Linked DNA regions of Elephas maximus indicus. The main gene of each other region encodes a partner of the protein of the gene in region 2 in a complex. Links are inferred from orthologs where the notes say so. Each region holds a gene or a part of one and is shown on either strand. Other genes may lie near its edges.

Region 1 (7,919 bases), on a different chromosome or scaffold from region 2:
TGACCCCAAGTCTCCCTCAGGGTGATTATCGGCAGCTGGTGCATGAGCTGGATGAGGCGGAGTACCGGGACATCCGTCTGAGGATCATGGAGATCCGCAATGCTTACGTGAGGAGGCGAGGGCAGCGCAGGGCAGGGGTGGGCAGAGGCAGCTTTCCCAGGCCACCCGCTCCCAGACCCTGCAGGCTGGGGGTAAAGGGTGACAAAGCGTGGCCTCTTCACAAGGCTGGAAATGGGGCACAGAGCGACTGGCACCTACAGCTGACCCCCCACTCCTCCCTGGCCCTGTAGGCAGTGCTATATGACATCATCCTGAAGAACTTCGAAAAACTCAAGAAGCCCAGGGGAGAAACAAAGGGGATGATTTATTGAGGGCCTCTGCTCTCATTTTTGTGATGAGTGCAACAGAGACCCTCCTGCCTTTTATCGGGGACTCCAGACTTTCCCCCCATTTTTCTCCTGTTGAGGTTTCTCTCTCACCTTGCCATCTAGGCACAATAAATATAATCATACTGTTACCCATCAGCCCAAGTCTCTTTATTGGATCCTGGCCCCACTGACCCTGGCTCAAGCATTTTCATTAGTGGGATCAATCCACTGGGTGATTTGGGTATTCAGCTGCTGGTTGGTCCAGTCCTGCCGGATGTCATCAAGGTGTGAGTCAAAGTCCACAAGGTGCTGGTGGGCCCGGCCCTCCAGAAGTGCTCCTACCATCTGCCGCGACTCTTCCCAGTCCCTCCACATCACTCTGAAATAGTAACCACCATGGAAGTCAAACAGTAGGCGATGGGGCCAGATGCAGAACTTGGCAGAAGTTAGGTCTAGGGAAGGACTTTTGGGGCAGGACAGAGGGAACCCAGGAACTTTGGACTTCCAAGAAGTGGAGGGAGTAGGGCACTCACAAGTTCTTGTCTTTGGGGGCCCAGCGGAGACCATGGTTCTCCAGGACAATGACTGGGGGCACACGAGGTTGAGGCACCAGTTTCTGATTATCTAGCTGGTGGACAAAGACAAGCGAGTTTCAAAGATCCCACCCACGATGTTCTCTCCGACTCCCCCAACCCTGAATCCCAAGGCTCACCATGATGAGTACTGCATCAGGGAAGAATTCTGCAATTCGCCCAGCAATTTTCAAGGCCAGGGGCCCAGGGCTGTGTAGAGGAAAGATCAGAGGAATGAGGAACTGGCTGGACAGGCCCCATCATCTGAGCTGGGTCTCCCAGATATGGGTGCAGTTGTGACCTTTCCTTGTAGCTGGGTAGGGGCTGGGGGTGGGGTTAGCTCAGTTTGATGTACAACTGCATGATGTTTGAATGCTATGATGGGAAACAGACACTGTTGGTGAGAATGAATATCAAAACTGCTTAATATACATGTACTGACCCAGAAATTTCACTTACAAAGAATCTACTATAATAATAAGACAGTGTATGGCTGCTAACCAAAAGGTCTGCAGTTGGAATCCACCAGCCGCTCCTTAGAAACCCTAGAGTGCAGTTCTACTGTCTTACAGGGTTGCTATGAGTTGTAATCCACTCGATGGCAATAGGTTTTTTTTTTTTTTTGCTTTTTGTAATAGCAAAAAATTGGAAGCCACCTCAATGCTTAATGTAAAGCACTAAATAAATTATAGACATTCATATGCATACACTATAGCTGTTAGGGTAAGGTAGATCTTGGTGTAGAGATGGAAAGATGTCATTTATTTATTATGCAGGGGAACAAATTACAAAACACTACAATCATTTGATCCATTTATATGATTGATAAATGTAATTATCTCTACCTATCTTATCTATATGTATATGATTTCCTTTTTATTAAGTTGCTGGTTGCATTTCCCCTCTGTTCGTTCAGTAATTGGGAGGCACTCTCATAAAGGAAGTGTTAACCTGTTCTTATTGATACACAGTTGTCCTCCCCACCCCACCCCACCCCCAGCTCCTCCAGAACACTGCTGTCTTACTCATCATTGTATTTCCTCACTCCAGTACCCAGCATAGTGCCAGATGTACAGACTCTGCTCCTAAGTGTTTAAGGAAGGAAAAATAGAAGGAATGACCTTGGCTCTCTTGACTCCCACCCCATAACCCTTTGCCTTCTGCTTTTGGCTACCCAACTCACCTCTGGTCGTCCAGAGCTGCATTGGCATGGTAGTACCCAGCCACCACCAGACCGCCCTGTGCACCCCACACATCCACCTGCCGTGGGAAAGGGGCCATCAGTAACTAAAGCGTGATGCCGGCCCTGTGGGTCCGCACTACCGCAAGGGGCCAGGAATGGGCTTGGGCTAGGGGTTTTGGGGGCATTCGCGGTAGTCGGTTGGCGTCCAGCGGCGGCACCTGGTTGAGGGCGACCTCCAGCATGACGGACAGGGCCAGGTGGCTGTGGAATAGGGGCACACAGTCTGTGAGGCACAGACATTCCCCGGTCCGCGGCGCCGGCGCCAGCAACAGCCCGTTGACAGCAGCGTGCGGGTACCGGGCGGCGTGCAGGCACATCTTCACGTAGGCCCGGGCTGAGATCTCCACCTCCCCCATGGCGAGAGGGGCCTGCCCGGGTACGAAGTAAGCCCAGTTAGTGCCGGTTCCCACGCCACCCTGCGAAGCCCCTAGCTCGTGTCCGCCCAGCTCCCTCCAGCACCCCGGCGCCCTCCTTGACTACCGACACCAACACCTTGGTACCCCTTCGCTTACGTTCGCCCGTGAAGCCGCCTCGGCTCGAAGGCAGCCCGAAGGCTCCCGGAGACCTCGACCCGGGTGCCCGCCCCCGGCCCTGCCCAGAAGGAGGTCCCGATTGCATCCCGCGGTACTGAGCCCCGCCTTCCCCCGCCCCCGGCGGGCGGATGCGGATCAGCGCCTTTTGCCAGTGTTCAGCGCCTGCTGCTCCAAGCCGGACCCGCGGCAAGAGTCCCGCCCATGTGGTGCTCTTTGATAGGCTTAGAGGTTCTCATTTTATCCAATCAGCGGCTTTTGCCTCCATCCAAACTGAAGTTTACAACAATAAACCATTGGTCGGCGCACTTATTGGCTAGGCTAGCCGACTTCCGCTCATGATTGCCGAATGGTTTTGTCTGTTACCTGTGCTGCCCGCCCCCACAAGCCCGGCGGAGCCAACCCGGTAAAGCCCGAGGCCCGCGCAAGATGTTCCGACGCAGTGGTTTTTCAAACATGCAGACGTAGCGGACCTCCTTGCTCCTGTTATGGAATGAGCGGATCTGGACTCCAGACTGACCCTGTCACTTACTTACGAGCCGTGTTACCCTCGAGACTACAGATTATCTGGCCCTTGGTTTCCTTAATGTAATACCAGTTGCCCATGGTGCTTTAAGAATTAAATGAGATAGCGTATGGGGACCGGTTTCCAAACTGTCAAGTACGAGGCAACATTATTATTCCATATTTAAAAACAAGATAAGACCCTGAATTACTGAACAATCCCATGGAGTTTATAGCAAAGACCACAGTAGAGGAACTCTTGCCTCTACCATCTGAACAGGGCTGAATCCTGAACCTAAACCAAAACCAAACCCGGTGCCGTAGGGTTGATTGCGACCCTACAGGACAAAGTAGAACTGCCCCATAGAGTTACCAGGGAGCGCCTGGCGGATTCAAACTGCCAACCCTTTGGTCAGCAGCTGTAGCACTTAACCACTATGCCACCAGGGTTTCGGAATCCTGAAAGGCAGAGATAAATACGGCAATTGGTTAATAAAGGGGAAAAAAAGGACCAAAAGAAAAATCCTATAGATCCATCCTTCCCATAACGCACCGTGTTGTAATTTCCTTCACTACAATGCCTTGGGAACTTTTTTCCCCTTTCCAGTGCTTGAGAAGGGGTTCAACTATTCACCCTTAATTCTCCCAGTGAAACCTCGATCCTCCTTCCAGTTTTGCTCAGTTTTCTTTGATGAGACCAATTCCTTCCTTCATTCTCCAACCACAGCCACAGAACTTTCCCCTTGTCTGTCCAAACCCTGATTATTCCTGTAAGGGTTTTGCCCAAATGCCATCTTTTCCGTGAAGCATTCATGAGACTCCTGGATGGAAATAACTTGTGAAATTCCATAAAGCAGGTTATCTGCATGGCTGTCATGGCATGTAATAGGTTCGCCCTGTTCTTTAGGACTCCTTTAGGACGGGCGTCTGATTCATGTTTGTCTTCCTGGCACCCTCTTCCCTCTATCACATATACGCGCAGTATTTAGACACAGGTGGCACTCAATAAATGCTTTTTGAATGAATGACAAGGACACACAACAGAAGTAATCCAGGTCATTTATTCCTTTCTAGCCCAGGGCTCAGTACATAGATGGCTTCTCTTCACCCTTTGGATTGACAATTTTCTCCAGGTTGCTGCTGATTATATGATAAAGCTCAGCCTAGGAAGAAAGCCAGAAGGGCAGCAGTCAGGTTCTTCTCCTCCCTTCCCCCGCTCCCCCCCTCCCCCCGGCCCACATCACATGCCTCCTCTTAGGGGCTCACTCCATACTCACATAGAAGGTCCTTAAGTCCAGCACCATGGCTCTGAGATCCCTATAGGCTGCCTCATCTCGCTCATGCACCAGGGCCCGGTAATCCATCTGGGATGTGGGAGGCAAAGTTGAGTCAGCATCCTAGGAGGCTGGGACATTAGTCTGGTTTCCTCATATAGGGAATAGGTAACTTGAGAATGAATTCCTTCTCCGCACCAAGAAACAGGATCCCACATGATCAAGCAGAGAAAAGGATCAAGGCTTTTGAAGCCCAAATCAGCTTTTCTAGAGAATGCTTTTGATTAGATGTCCTCTGCACTGGTAAGATCATAAATAAGACAAGGAAATCCACTCCCCCCTTTCCTTCGCACCTCCAGCCAGCCTCAGCTAAAAGGCTGGTGGACTATCCACTTACTACATGGGTCTCCTTGGAGGCCTTGGCCACTGCATCCCCACGTTCTGAGAAGTACCTGCCAGAAGCAAGGGAAGTAACCCCAGGAATGGGTGTTCAAGGAAATACACTCCCTCAGACCCTTCCCAAAGTCCCCCATTGTCCTGCTGGGACAGGACAGTCTTAAGACTCTCAAAGAAATGTTCCTGCAGCCCCCAGCTGCCCTCACTTGGAAATGGTTGTCTGGAAGGCTTCCACCTTGGTCTTGACTGCATTCACCCTCTCCAGCACTTTCTCCTGTGGTGATAAAAGATGAGGGTGGAAAGAAAACACCTCATTTCCTTTCTCCTTCACCAACCATCTCCTTCTTCCTCCTAACTCATGGCTAGATCCTATCCCTCTCCAAGTCTCTCCCCACTCTCAGTGCCCTCACTCACCCATATCTTACCTGGATTGCCACCCCAAAATCATTTCCGTCCTCAATCTTGGGAATCAGATGCTGGATCCATGTGATCACCTAGATTAAGAGGTATCATGTAGGAAGCATTCAACATACCTCGTGCCACTTCTTAAAAATAAAAAAAAAATTTTTTTTTGATAGGTTATATTTAATTGAGTACTTACTATGTGCAGGCACTATGATATGTATTATTTATCTAATTTAGTCTTCACAGAAACCTTCAAGGCATACACATTTGCTATTCCCACTTAAAGGATGAGAAATCTGAGTCACAGTCTAAGTGACTTATTCAAGGTGACCACCTAGGTAAGTGATAAGTCAGGATGTGAATCCAGATAGTCTTTCTCTATGGCCTGAGTGCTTAAACCACTCATATATCATACCACTTCCACTGTGTACCTGGTACACCAGTATGTTCTGAGATGAGAAGTGGGTACAGCATAGTCTCTGACTTCAGGGCACCATTATGATACCACAGGTCTAGCAGAATGAGGAAGAGAACAAAGGGCATCTAAAACTAAGGCACAGAAAGACATTTCCTGTTTTGGGACTAGGTCCCTGAATAAAGGGCTTGCCTCTCTGAAGGAGGCCAGGGTCTGGCCTTGCTTATCTTCTCTTTCCTCTTCTCCGAGCTCCCAGACTTACCAGAATGCATTTCTCTTTGAGAGTCCAGACTTCTGGCTTAACTAGGGCAAGCAGGGCCAGCAGCTTCTCGTTTCCAGGGAGAAAGCCGCACTTAGGGGCTGTGAGAAACAGGAGATGGAGGCCCCTTCTCATTTAGCAGTCAATATGCCATTTTCCACTTCCCTATCTACCCCTTCTTCTCTTACCTTCTTTTTTCTCCTGCTTATCTGTTTCCATCTAAGGCAAAATGGAGGAAAATCACTTTAGAAACCTCATGGAGGCTGGCGTGCCATCGTCTTTATTGGGTTTATGGTCCAATCCCTGCACCCTGAGTACCTCACCTCATCATCCTTGGGTGGGGGGTCTGGGATAGGGATGTCCAGTGGGGCCCGGAGGGAAGTCAGGTCAGTCACACTGAAGGAGTCTTCCTGCATAGAGCTCACTGTCAGAGGCTGCCCAGAGTCTTCCCTCCACTCATCCCACCCACCCTCTGCCTCCCAACCTAGGCTTAGGCCTCACACCATCCTAATGCTCCTACCCACCATTCACAACTGTTCTCTGGGTGCTGAGCCCAGTCATTGGCTAGAGAGGGTGAGCGGATGGAAGAGAGGCCACGGGATGAGGCAGGAAGGGCCCACACTACTCACTTTCAAGAGCTGATTCAGGTATACGATCTTCTGCGGCAAGAATGTGCAGAGGAATTCCTCAGCCTGTGGGTTACATGGCAAGGGTGGGGGCAATCACAGAAGGCGTTCAATGAGATTGAGAAGGAGGGCTGAAAGGACCCTTGGAAATCATTGAGTTCAAGACTTACAACTGAGGAAATGAAGCCCTGAAAAGGTAATGGACTTGCCAAGCTGGTTAAGTGGCTGAACCAAGGTTAACCAAACCAAAACCAAACTCATTGCCATGAAGTTAACTCTGACTCATAGAGACCCTATAGGACAGAGTAGAATGGCCCCATAGGGTTTCCAAGGAGTGGCTGGTGGATTTGAACTGTAGACCTTTTGGTTTGCAGTGGTAGCCCTCAACCACTTCACCACTGAGGTTAGGACTAGGGTATTCTGGCTTTGGGGCCATGGCTTTTCCATCTACACCAAAAGAGGGGAGGGAAAGTGGCAGAAAGAGAGTAGAATCTTAAGAGGGATGAAATTAAAGGCAGAAATCAATAATTAGGAGCTCACTCTGGGTGAAGGCTTCATAAGGGAAGTAGTGCCCAGGTGTAGGGTGGGTTTGCGAGTCACTCTGAGGTTGTGACCCTCAAGTACTGGTTTAAGCTTCTGAGTCAAATCGCTTGAGTCCAGAGACTTACCTCCTGGAAGAGATTTTGCCTGAAGACATCCACCTGCAGAGAGCAGTTCAGGATGCTGGTTAAGTCTCAGTTGCCAAGAATAAGAAAGAGCCCACCACCCTCTCCCGCCAAAAGGGGTGCCCTCCCCTGTGACTCAGGCCTTTCCCACCAGCGGCCAGTTCTTCCTGGGAGCCCCTGGCTCAGTGCAAGCTGGCCAAAGGCCAGGAATCTGGGAATCCCCAGACAGAAGTGAAAGCACTAAAGTGAGGGACTGAGGAAGTTCTCTGGCGTGGCCTTGGTCCTCCGGAGCATCCAGCTTTGCCTTCACCCAAGCGGGCTTCGCGGCCCCTTCCTGGCCTTCCCGGTCCCCCCATTACCTGTTTGCGGGCCTCCCCGCTCAGGCGTACCCCACAAGGCTTGGCCATGCTCCTCCAGTTGCAAGGTCTTCGGTCTCCCGGCTCGCCGCCTGGGCTTTCGCTTTCACTCCCCAGGTCCAGGCCCGCCCCCCTCAGCCCCGCCCCCGTCGTTCTTTCCCCCAACCCCCGGCGGACCGCATACTGAAGGACGCCCCTCAGCCATTCCCCGCCAGAAGCGGCTAGGGGAGGCGGTGCTGGCTCGGTCACAAGCCTAGGGGCTGTCCGAGGGAGGGGCTAGGGCTAGTGGGACTGGGGAGACTGGAA
Region 2 (7,633 bases):
CCTAAATTCATCTAAGATACCAAAGAAATTATTTCATCACTTAGAAAATGATGTACAGTTACAGCCTTTTGGTGACAATTTGTTAATGCTTATTATTAATCCCATTAACAATTCACTCAGTCAACAAATAATTACTGGGCCCCTCCTATATGCCAGGCACTAGTGATATCTTGATGGCAGTGGGTTTTGGTGGGTGGGAGTGATATGACAAGGCTCCCTGGGTGGCACAAACAGTATGCTCTCAGCTGCTAACCTAAAGGTTGGTGGTTCAAACTCACCCAGTGGCACCACTGGAGAAAGGCCTGGCAATCTGTTTCCAAAAAGATTACAGCCAGGAAAACCCTACGGAGGAGTTCTACTCTATAACACAAACACATGGGGTTGCCACGAGTCAGGATCAACTCAAGGGCAATGAGTTTGGTTTTTTTTTGGTGGGGGGGAGTGATGTGACAATGAACAATATAGGCCTCTTCTTCTAGATGGAGAGACAAACATTTTTAAAACTTACACAACTGGGCAAATGCTTCCAAAGTATGAGAACATGTACTTATAGGATCAGGCCTAGGCTTTTTGTTTGTTTGTTTTCTTTTCTTATTGCTGTTTAGGTTTTGTTTTTCTCTTTTTTCTTTTGCCAGAGAACTGGGAAAGCAGAGTCGATGTCTTAAGTATGTAACCTTTGAGGGAAACTACATGAAATGAAAAGGGTAATGAGGCAAGAGGAGGACAAGAAAGAAAGAACACTCCTGGAATAACACGTGCTCATCCTGAAGCCAAGAAAGAGCACAGCACATTTAGGAAATTCAAGGAAAGCCAATGTAACCAGCTCAGAGAAAGTTGAGAGGGAGAATGTTTTTATGTGCCACCAAGTTGATTCAGACTCTTAAAGAAAAAAAAAAAAAAAAACCATTGCTGTCAAGTTGATTCCAACTCATAGTGACCTTACAGAACAGAGTAGAACTGCCACGTAAAGTTTCCAGGGAGCACCTGGTGGATTCAAACTGCTGACCTATTTGTTAGCGGCCATAGCTCTTAACCTTTGTGCCACCACGGCTCCTCTGACTCATTTGAAAAAAAAACAAACCCATTGCTAATTGAGTCAATACCTATAGAACAGAGTAGAACTGCCCCATCCAATTTCCAAGGAGCAGCTGGTGGATTCAGACACCGGTCTTTTGGTTAGCACCCAAACTCTTAACCACTACACCACCAGGAGTCCTCTGGCTCATAGTGACCTTGTGTATGACAGCGTTGAACTGCTCCATAGGGTTTCCAAGTCTGTAGTGTTTACAGGAGCAGATCACCAGGTCTTTTCTCCCACAGAGCCGCTGGGTGGATTCAAACCTTTTGGTTAGCAGCCAAGTGCTTAACCATTGCACCATCAGAGCTTCTTTAGAGGGAAAATAGCTCGAGATAAAACCGGAGATGTGTGCAGGACCCAAACTACACAGGAGAAGGACATAATCATGTTATTACCTAATAAAAATGTATCCTTTTCTAAAGTATTTAAGAAAGTACTTCAACATGTTTTACGTTTTGTCACTCAACAAACTTGTGAAGTAGTTATTACTTATTCCAAACCTAATTCTTTCACTCCTCTTTAGAATGCCCAAAGGGTAAAGTCCAAGTGGTTTAACCATGTTGTCTGCTGGTAGTTATACCTCTCTCAAGATCCCCTACAATGCTACCATCCTCTAAGAAGCCTATGTTGAACATTCATCAAAGCACTTTCTAAAAATTATGAAACAACTGAAGCATTAAAAATAACAGCCACGTATCCACTACCCAGCTTAAAAAAACATATCCTGACACAACGTATTTACAGGTCTATGTGCTCCATCAAAGGAACTCTGGTGGTGCAGTGGTTAAAGCACTCAGCTGCAAACTGAAGGTCTGCGTTCAAACCCACCAGCCAGCCGCTCCCCAGGAGAAAGACGGGGCAGTTTGCTTCCACAAAGATTTACAGCCTTGGAAACCCTATGGAGCAGCTCTACCCTGTCCTACAGAGTCATTATGAGTAGGAAATCAACAATGGGTTTGAGTTTGGACTTCTCCATCAAACTAGGAAGGTGGGACTGTGTGTCACTTAACCTGGTATATGCAAGATCTAACTCTCCTTACTTAACACCTTTGTTTAACATAACGCATTTCCCCAATACAGGTGGAAACACTGAGGTTCACAGAGTGTTAGAGGCCATAAAGCCAATAAAGCATTGAACTCAGTTCAAGTATAAAAGAATTTTCCCTTCTCTTTCTTTATTTACCACCAAACTTTCAGTTCCCAAGTATTAAACACTCCAAGAAGGCATCTATTGAACAGATTAGTTATTGAAGTCTAATGGAATATGCTAAGTAGGAATCCACTCGAAAGCATACAACAATAAAACTTTTTGAGAAGATAAAATCTCTCTTACAGAGCTGGCCCAAGGTTTGGCTGCTTCTGGATTTTAAAGAACACGCCCCACCTTACATCAACCCAGAAGTCCATCACACTTGAGCAGGTGCCCCTAAGCTAACCAGTTCTTCTCCCCTGCGGAAAAGTAATACCGGTAGGAAGTAAGAAAAAAGTTCTGTTGTGTAAATGTGTTTTGAAAGGTAAAGAAATATGGAAAAAATAAATAAAGGGGGGGTCAAAACCCGGTTTTGAAGAGAGAACGAAACAAAAAGTAAGATTTAGAAGAATCAGATTTGTTCACGGACCTTCTACACCTTTTCTGCACAGACGTGTAACCCTGACACAGCGCTGAGTACAAGGCCTTACAGGCCCTGTATTTCTTGGTTGCAAAGAAGCTACAGCAGCTACTTGTCCTGCCTCCTCCGCGCCGCCCAGCAGCCACCGCAAGAGTGTGACAGCCCCAGCACCACGTCCCCTCCGCCTCACAACAGAAGCTACCCTGAGCCAGTGGATTGGCGCGGAGATAGGCGGACCAGTCTCCAGATGAACACACGCGGCGGGAACGCCGCGGACCCCAGTCCGTGGCCGGGCCAAGGCAGGGGCCCCTCTCAGACTTCAGTCTGGCGCGTCCACTGAGAAACACGGTACCGGAAACAGACATGAGAACTCAACTCTCCGAGAGCAGCGGTACTTCCGAACTGCTTCCCAGAGATTTTGATCTTTCTGCGCACCCTCCCCCGCCCCCACCCCGAGCTCGCAGTTACCTTCCCAGGTGACATCGTAAAGCTCAGAGACTTTCGCCATCTTCACAGAACCTAGAAACAGCGAGGTGAAGGGGCGGGGAGATGCGGTCACGTGACGGACGGCCGGGCGGTAGCGAGTTACGATGCTATTTCTCATTGGCCGAGAGCGCGGAGGGGGCGGGATTCGCCACGCACGTGCACGCGGCTGTGCGGAGAGGCTTTGGGGGAAGGGGCGGAGCAAGATGGACGGTGCCTAGCGCGCCGGAAGTTTGGGAACGCTCGGGAGGCTGACGAGAGCAAAGGCAGCGTTTGGTGGGGGCTTTTTTACCGTGACTTTTAAACAAACACATGGCTTGTAACATCCCTCGGCGGGTTTTCATTTTTCTCTACTTAGGTGTATCCAATCTTCTCACATTCCCCAGTCATGGCCTGCTGCAACATTCTGCCCCGAATCTCTTAATCGTTCCCAGCGTTAAAATAGTGTTACATTCGATTATTTCCTTTTTAATGATCTAGTGAACTGATAAACTCCAAGATTTTCATTAAATCCCTTTGAGGCACTAGGTGGAATTCTGCCTTTGTGCTTTATGTACCTGTGTCTGAGGACTTAATGCACTAGTACCTTCCTGGCCACCTGCACCCTTCGTTAACGCTCGACGTGAATGTAATTGCTCTGCTTGTGATGTCTGCCACTGTAGTTGTGAAGTTCCACAGGAACAGCCTCAGCGTAAGTGTGTAGTAAATAGTAAGTGGATTAAATAATGAATGAATGTTCAAATGATCCTTCATAGCCCTGCACTTCACTTTTCCACCGTTTCCCACCAAACTGAACTGCTTTCTGGAACCTTTGGTCCTATTCTCCCAAGACTAGAGAGAAATGTCTGAATTAGAAGCAAAAGATTTTAGAGTCATAAGCATATGTTTAGTATTTGAAGGTATAAGAATATGATATTGTATAAAAGGAATGTGTAAAGTGAGGAAAGAAGGCTAAAAGTCCCTGTAAAACAGCCACAGTTAAGGGGCAGTGAAGAAATAAGAGGCAATCAGTCAACATTTGAGCAAGGAGAAAGAAAGTAATATCCAGAAAAAAAGTAAATATAAGTGGAACATGCCACAGTTAAGTCATATAAGGACAGAAAATACTGGTGATTTTATAGCCTTGGCTTAAAATCTGAATAAGCTTCATTCTCCCCAGACTAAACAGACCTTTTAAAAAATCTTTCACTCAAAAAAAGTTAAAAATTGTCCACTCAGAAATTCACAGATTCTCCTAACGCATCTATAAAACAACCTGGTGTGATAGAGGAAACCCTGGTGGCATAGCGGTTTAGTGCTATGGCTCCTAACCAAAAGGCAGTTCAGATCCACCAGGCGCTCCTTGGAAACTCTATGGGGCGGTTCTTCTCTGTCCTATGGGATCACTATGAGTCGGAATTGACTCAGCCACAGCGGGTTTAGTATGTGATAGAAAGAAGAACCCTGTGTCAGACAGGCATGAATCCATGATCCACTGCTGTGAGCATATATGACGCTCTGAGCATCAGAGATGCTCGTATATAAAAAGAAGCTAATAACATCTATATAGAAGGAAAGTAAGAGGCATTTGTGGTTCAGTGGCAGAATTTTTGCCTTCCTTATGGGAGACCCGGGTTCAATTCCCGGCCAATGCACCTCATGCACAATCTACATTTCTGTGTCAGTGATCAGTTGTGTTGCTATGATGCTGAACAGGTTTTGGTAGAGCTTCTAGACTAAGAGTGACTAGAAAGAAAGGTCTGGTGAACTACTGCCAAAAATAAACCAGTGAAAACCGTATGGATCACAGCTGTCTGATTCGCAGATGACTGGGCAGAGTATCTTTCCGTTGTGCATGAAGTCATCATGCGTTGTGGGCTGACTGGTGGACACCTAACAACTACAACAAAGAAAATACTTACCTTGTGGACTTGTTATCAAGATTAAAAGAGATACTGCAGCTAAAGTACCTTCATGGCACTTTCACGTAAGTACTAGCCCTGTAGTTATTGCCATTAAGTGGGCTCTCATTCATGGAGACCTTATGTATTGTTGTCAGGTGCCATTGAGTCAGCTCTGACTCATAGCAACCTTATGTGTAACAATGAAACGTTGCCTGATCCTGCATTGTTTCAGCCACTGTGTCAGTCCATCTTGTTGAAGGTCTCCCTCTTTTTTGCTGACCCTCTACCAAGCATGATCCAAAGTAAGTGATACAAAGCCTCACCGTCCTCCCTTCTAACAAGCATTCTGGCTGTGCTTCCTCCAAGACACATTTGTTCATTCTTCTGGCAGTCCATGATATAATCAGTATTCTTCACCAACACTACCATTTGAATGCACCAATTCTTCTGTCTTCTTTTTTCATTTTCCGGCTTTTTCATGCCGTGGAGTCAATTCTGGCATATAGGAAAGGTCTTTTTTGAGCATCCAATAAAAAGTAGTCCCTAGTCAATGCCTATCACATCATTATGGCACTTATTATTATTTGACACCTTTTCTTTGTTTACTTATTTTCTGTGTCTTCTACTACTGTATAAGCTCCTTGACAATACGGACCTTGTCTGTCACTTTAACCTTGGAAGATCAACCCAGAAAAACTCTTGGCACACAGTAAATATTTATTAAATGAATGAATGAAGTAGATAACTAAAAAAGGCAGCTGACGTTAGAGATTATTAAGGATAATATTTCATAGCGCAACACATGAACTCTATTACTTGGTATGAATAGCATGTTTTCTTTTTTATATCCAATGCTTTCCTTCAAATCATATATTCACTGAGTGCAGGGACTATGTCCAGTTTATCTTGTATTGCCTAGCCCCTTACCACAGTATGTGGCATACCAGGACCAAAAACCAAACCCATTGCCGTCAAGTCGATTCCGACTCATAGCAACCCTATAGAACAAAGTAGAACTGCTCCATAGAGTTTCTAAGGAGTGCCTGGTGGATTCTGCAGAATCTGTCCCAACTCATAGCAACCCTATAGGAAAGAGTAAAACTACCGCATAGGGCTTCCGAGGCTGCAGTCTTTAAGGAAGCAGACTACCACATATTTCTCCACGGAGCAAGTGATGGGTTAGAACTGCCAACTTTTTGGCAGCTGAGCTGCTTAACTACTCTGTCACCAGGGCTTCTTACAGTAGCCCTAATGGTCTTAAAAAAAAAGAAAATCAGACCATGGAAGTCCATGGCTAAAGCCCTCAAATGACTCCTGATGACAATAAAAATTTACTCCAGATGCCTTCTTATGGTTTACAGGGCTTTACTGAATCTGACCCCCACTTACTTCTGATTTCACCTCCTGGTAATCTCCTCTCTTCACTGGACTCCAGCCCTTCTCACCTACTTTCTATTCCTCAGCCATGCCAAGTTGTTATCTGCCTTGGTTGTTCCCTTTCCCTGGAATGCTTCTCTCCAGATCTTCAAGTAGCCGTCTTTTTGTCATTCATTTCTCAGTTTGAAACATACCTACTCACGGAGGCAGTTAGCCACACATTCCATTTCCTCCAGCGACTCCTGAGAGCCCTGGTAGCACAATGAGTAAGCCCTTGGCTGCTAACTGAAAGGTCAGTGGTTCTAAGCTGCCAGAAGTTCCTTGGGAGAAAAGACCTGGCAATCTGCTCTCATAAAGATTACAGCTTAGGAAACCCTATAGTGCAGTTCTGCTGTATCCTGTAGGGTTGCTATGAGTTGGAATCACCTTGATAGGGCACAATAGTAACATTCCTGAATCTCTTTAGTGCAATGGGTTTCTCTTATACGTGGCCTTTCTGGCCTTGGGTTTATAATTCTGCCAAAAATGATCGGCTGGACCACAGTTTTACAAGCGATTGGTCAGTATACTATGCAGATAGGGTATGTAAGACAATGCAGTAGGATTAAGTGACCTTGAGGAAATTTGTCCATTACTATGCAGATTAAGTGCAGTGTACCAAGAAGATTGGTCAGCTCATGGTCTGGCTGGGAAGGACATGCCTTGAAATTGAGTATAAGGGCCAGTACCACAGAGGTTGAGGGGGACCTCATTACCACCAAGAAGAGGACTCTGGAGTAGAGCACATCTTTTGGATCTGGGGTCCCTGCACTAAGAACCTTGTAGTCCCAGGAGAGAGAGAGAGCTATAACACAAGACAGTGTAAGATGGCAAGAAATAGTGGCAACCACAGCAGAGCCCAGTGGCAGAGGAACAGCAGCAGCAGTATGAACAGCAAGAACCACGGGGACAACAGATGGCTACAGTGGTGATTGCCAGCCCACAGAGCAAGGCGGCTACAGTGGGCTTGCTGGCCCGTGGAGTGAGAGAAAGCTGAGTGCCTTCAGGCAGGAGCCTTGCTGGCTGAGTGGGATGCCTACAAGCACTTGTCAGTGGAACCAAAAGAGTTGTAACACTTGCCTCTGCAGGGCAGGGGTTTAGAGAGGGCCCACAGGCTGGTACAGCTAAGAGGAGGGTTGTCAGCTGGCATGCTGAGAGAAGGG

The links.
Region 1: EMC2 (region 2) and EMC9 share a complex: the UniProt entries of both Homo sapiens proteins name them as parts of the ER membrane protein complex. The link is inferred for Elephas maximus indicus from reciprocal best matches to the Homo sapiens genes EMC2 and EMC9.

Annotation. Positions count from the first base shown.
Region 1 is NC_064828.1:35,498,137-35,506,055, forward strand, and holds EMC9 (ER membrane protein complex subunit 9), read right to left. Parts: upstream 2,822-7,919; 5' UTR 2,696-2,821; intron 2,552-2,695; 5' UTR 2,540-2,551; coding exon 2,342-2,539; intron 2,201-2,341; coding exon 2,124-2,200; intron 2,026-2,123; coding exon 1,966-2,025; intron 1,151-1,965; coding exon 1,081-1,150; intron 997-1,080; coding exon 902-996; intron 748-901; coding exon 567-747; 3' UTR 517-566; downstream 1-516. Other genes in the region: PSME1 (proteasome activator complex subunit 1), read left to right, coding at 21-107, 291-371; PSME2 (proteasome activator complex subunit 2), read right to left, coding at 4,300-4,380, 4,495-4,581, 4,889-4,943, 5,094-5,161, 5,313-5,381, 5,970-6,067, 6,155-6,185, 6,290-6,376 and 3 more. UniProt on the Homo sapiens protein: Part of the endoplasmic reticulum membrane protein complex (EMC) that enables the energy-independent insertion into endoplasmic reticulum membranes of newly synthesized membrane proteins.
Region 2 is NC_064833.1:33,787,184-33,794,816, forward strand, and holds the start of EMC2 (ER membrane protein complex subunit 2), read right to left. Parts: upstream 3,243-7,633; 5' UTR 3,197-3,242; coding exon 3,157-3,196; intron 1-3,156. UniProt on the Homo sapiens protein: Part of the endoplasmic reticulum membrane protein complex (EMC) that enables the energy-independent insertion into endoplasmic reticulum membranes of newly synthesized membrane proteins.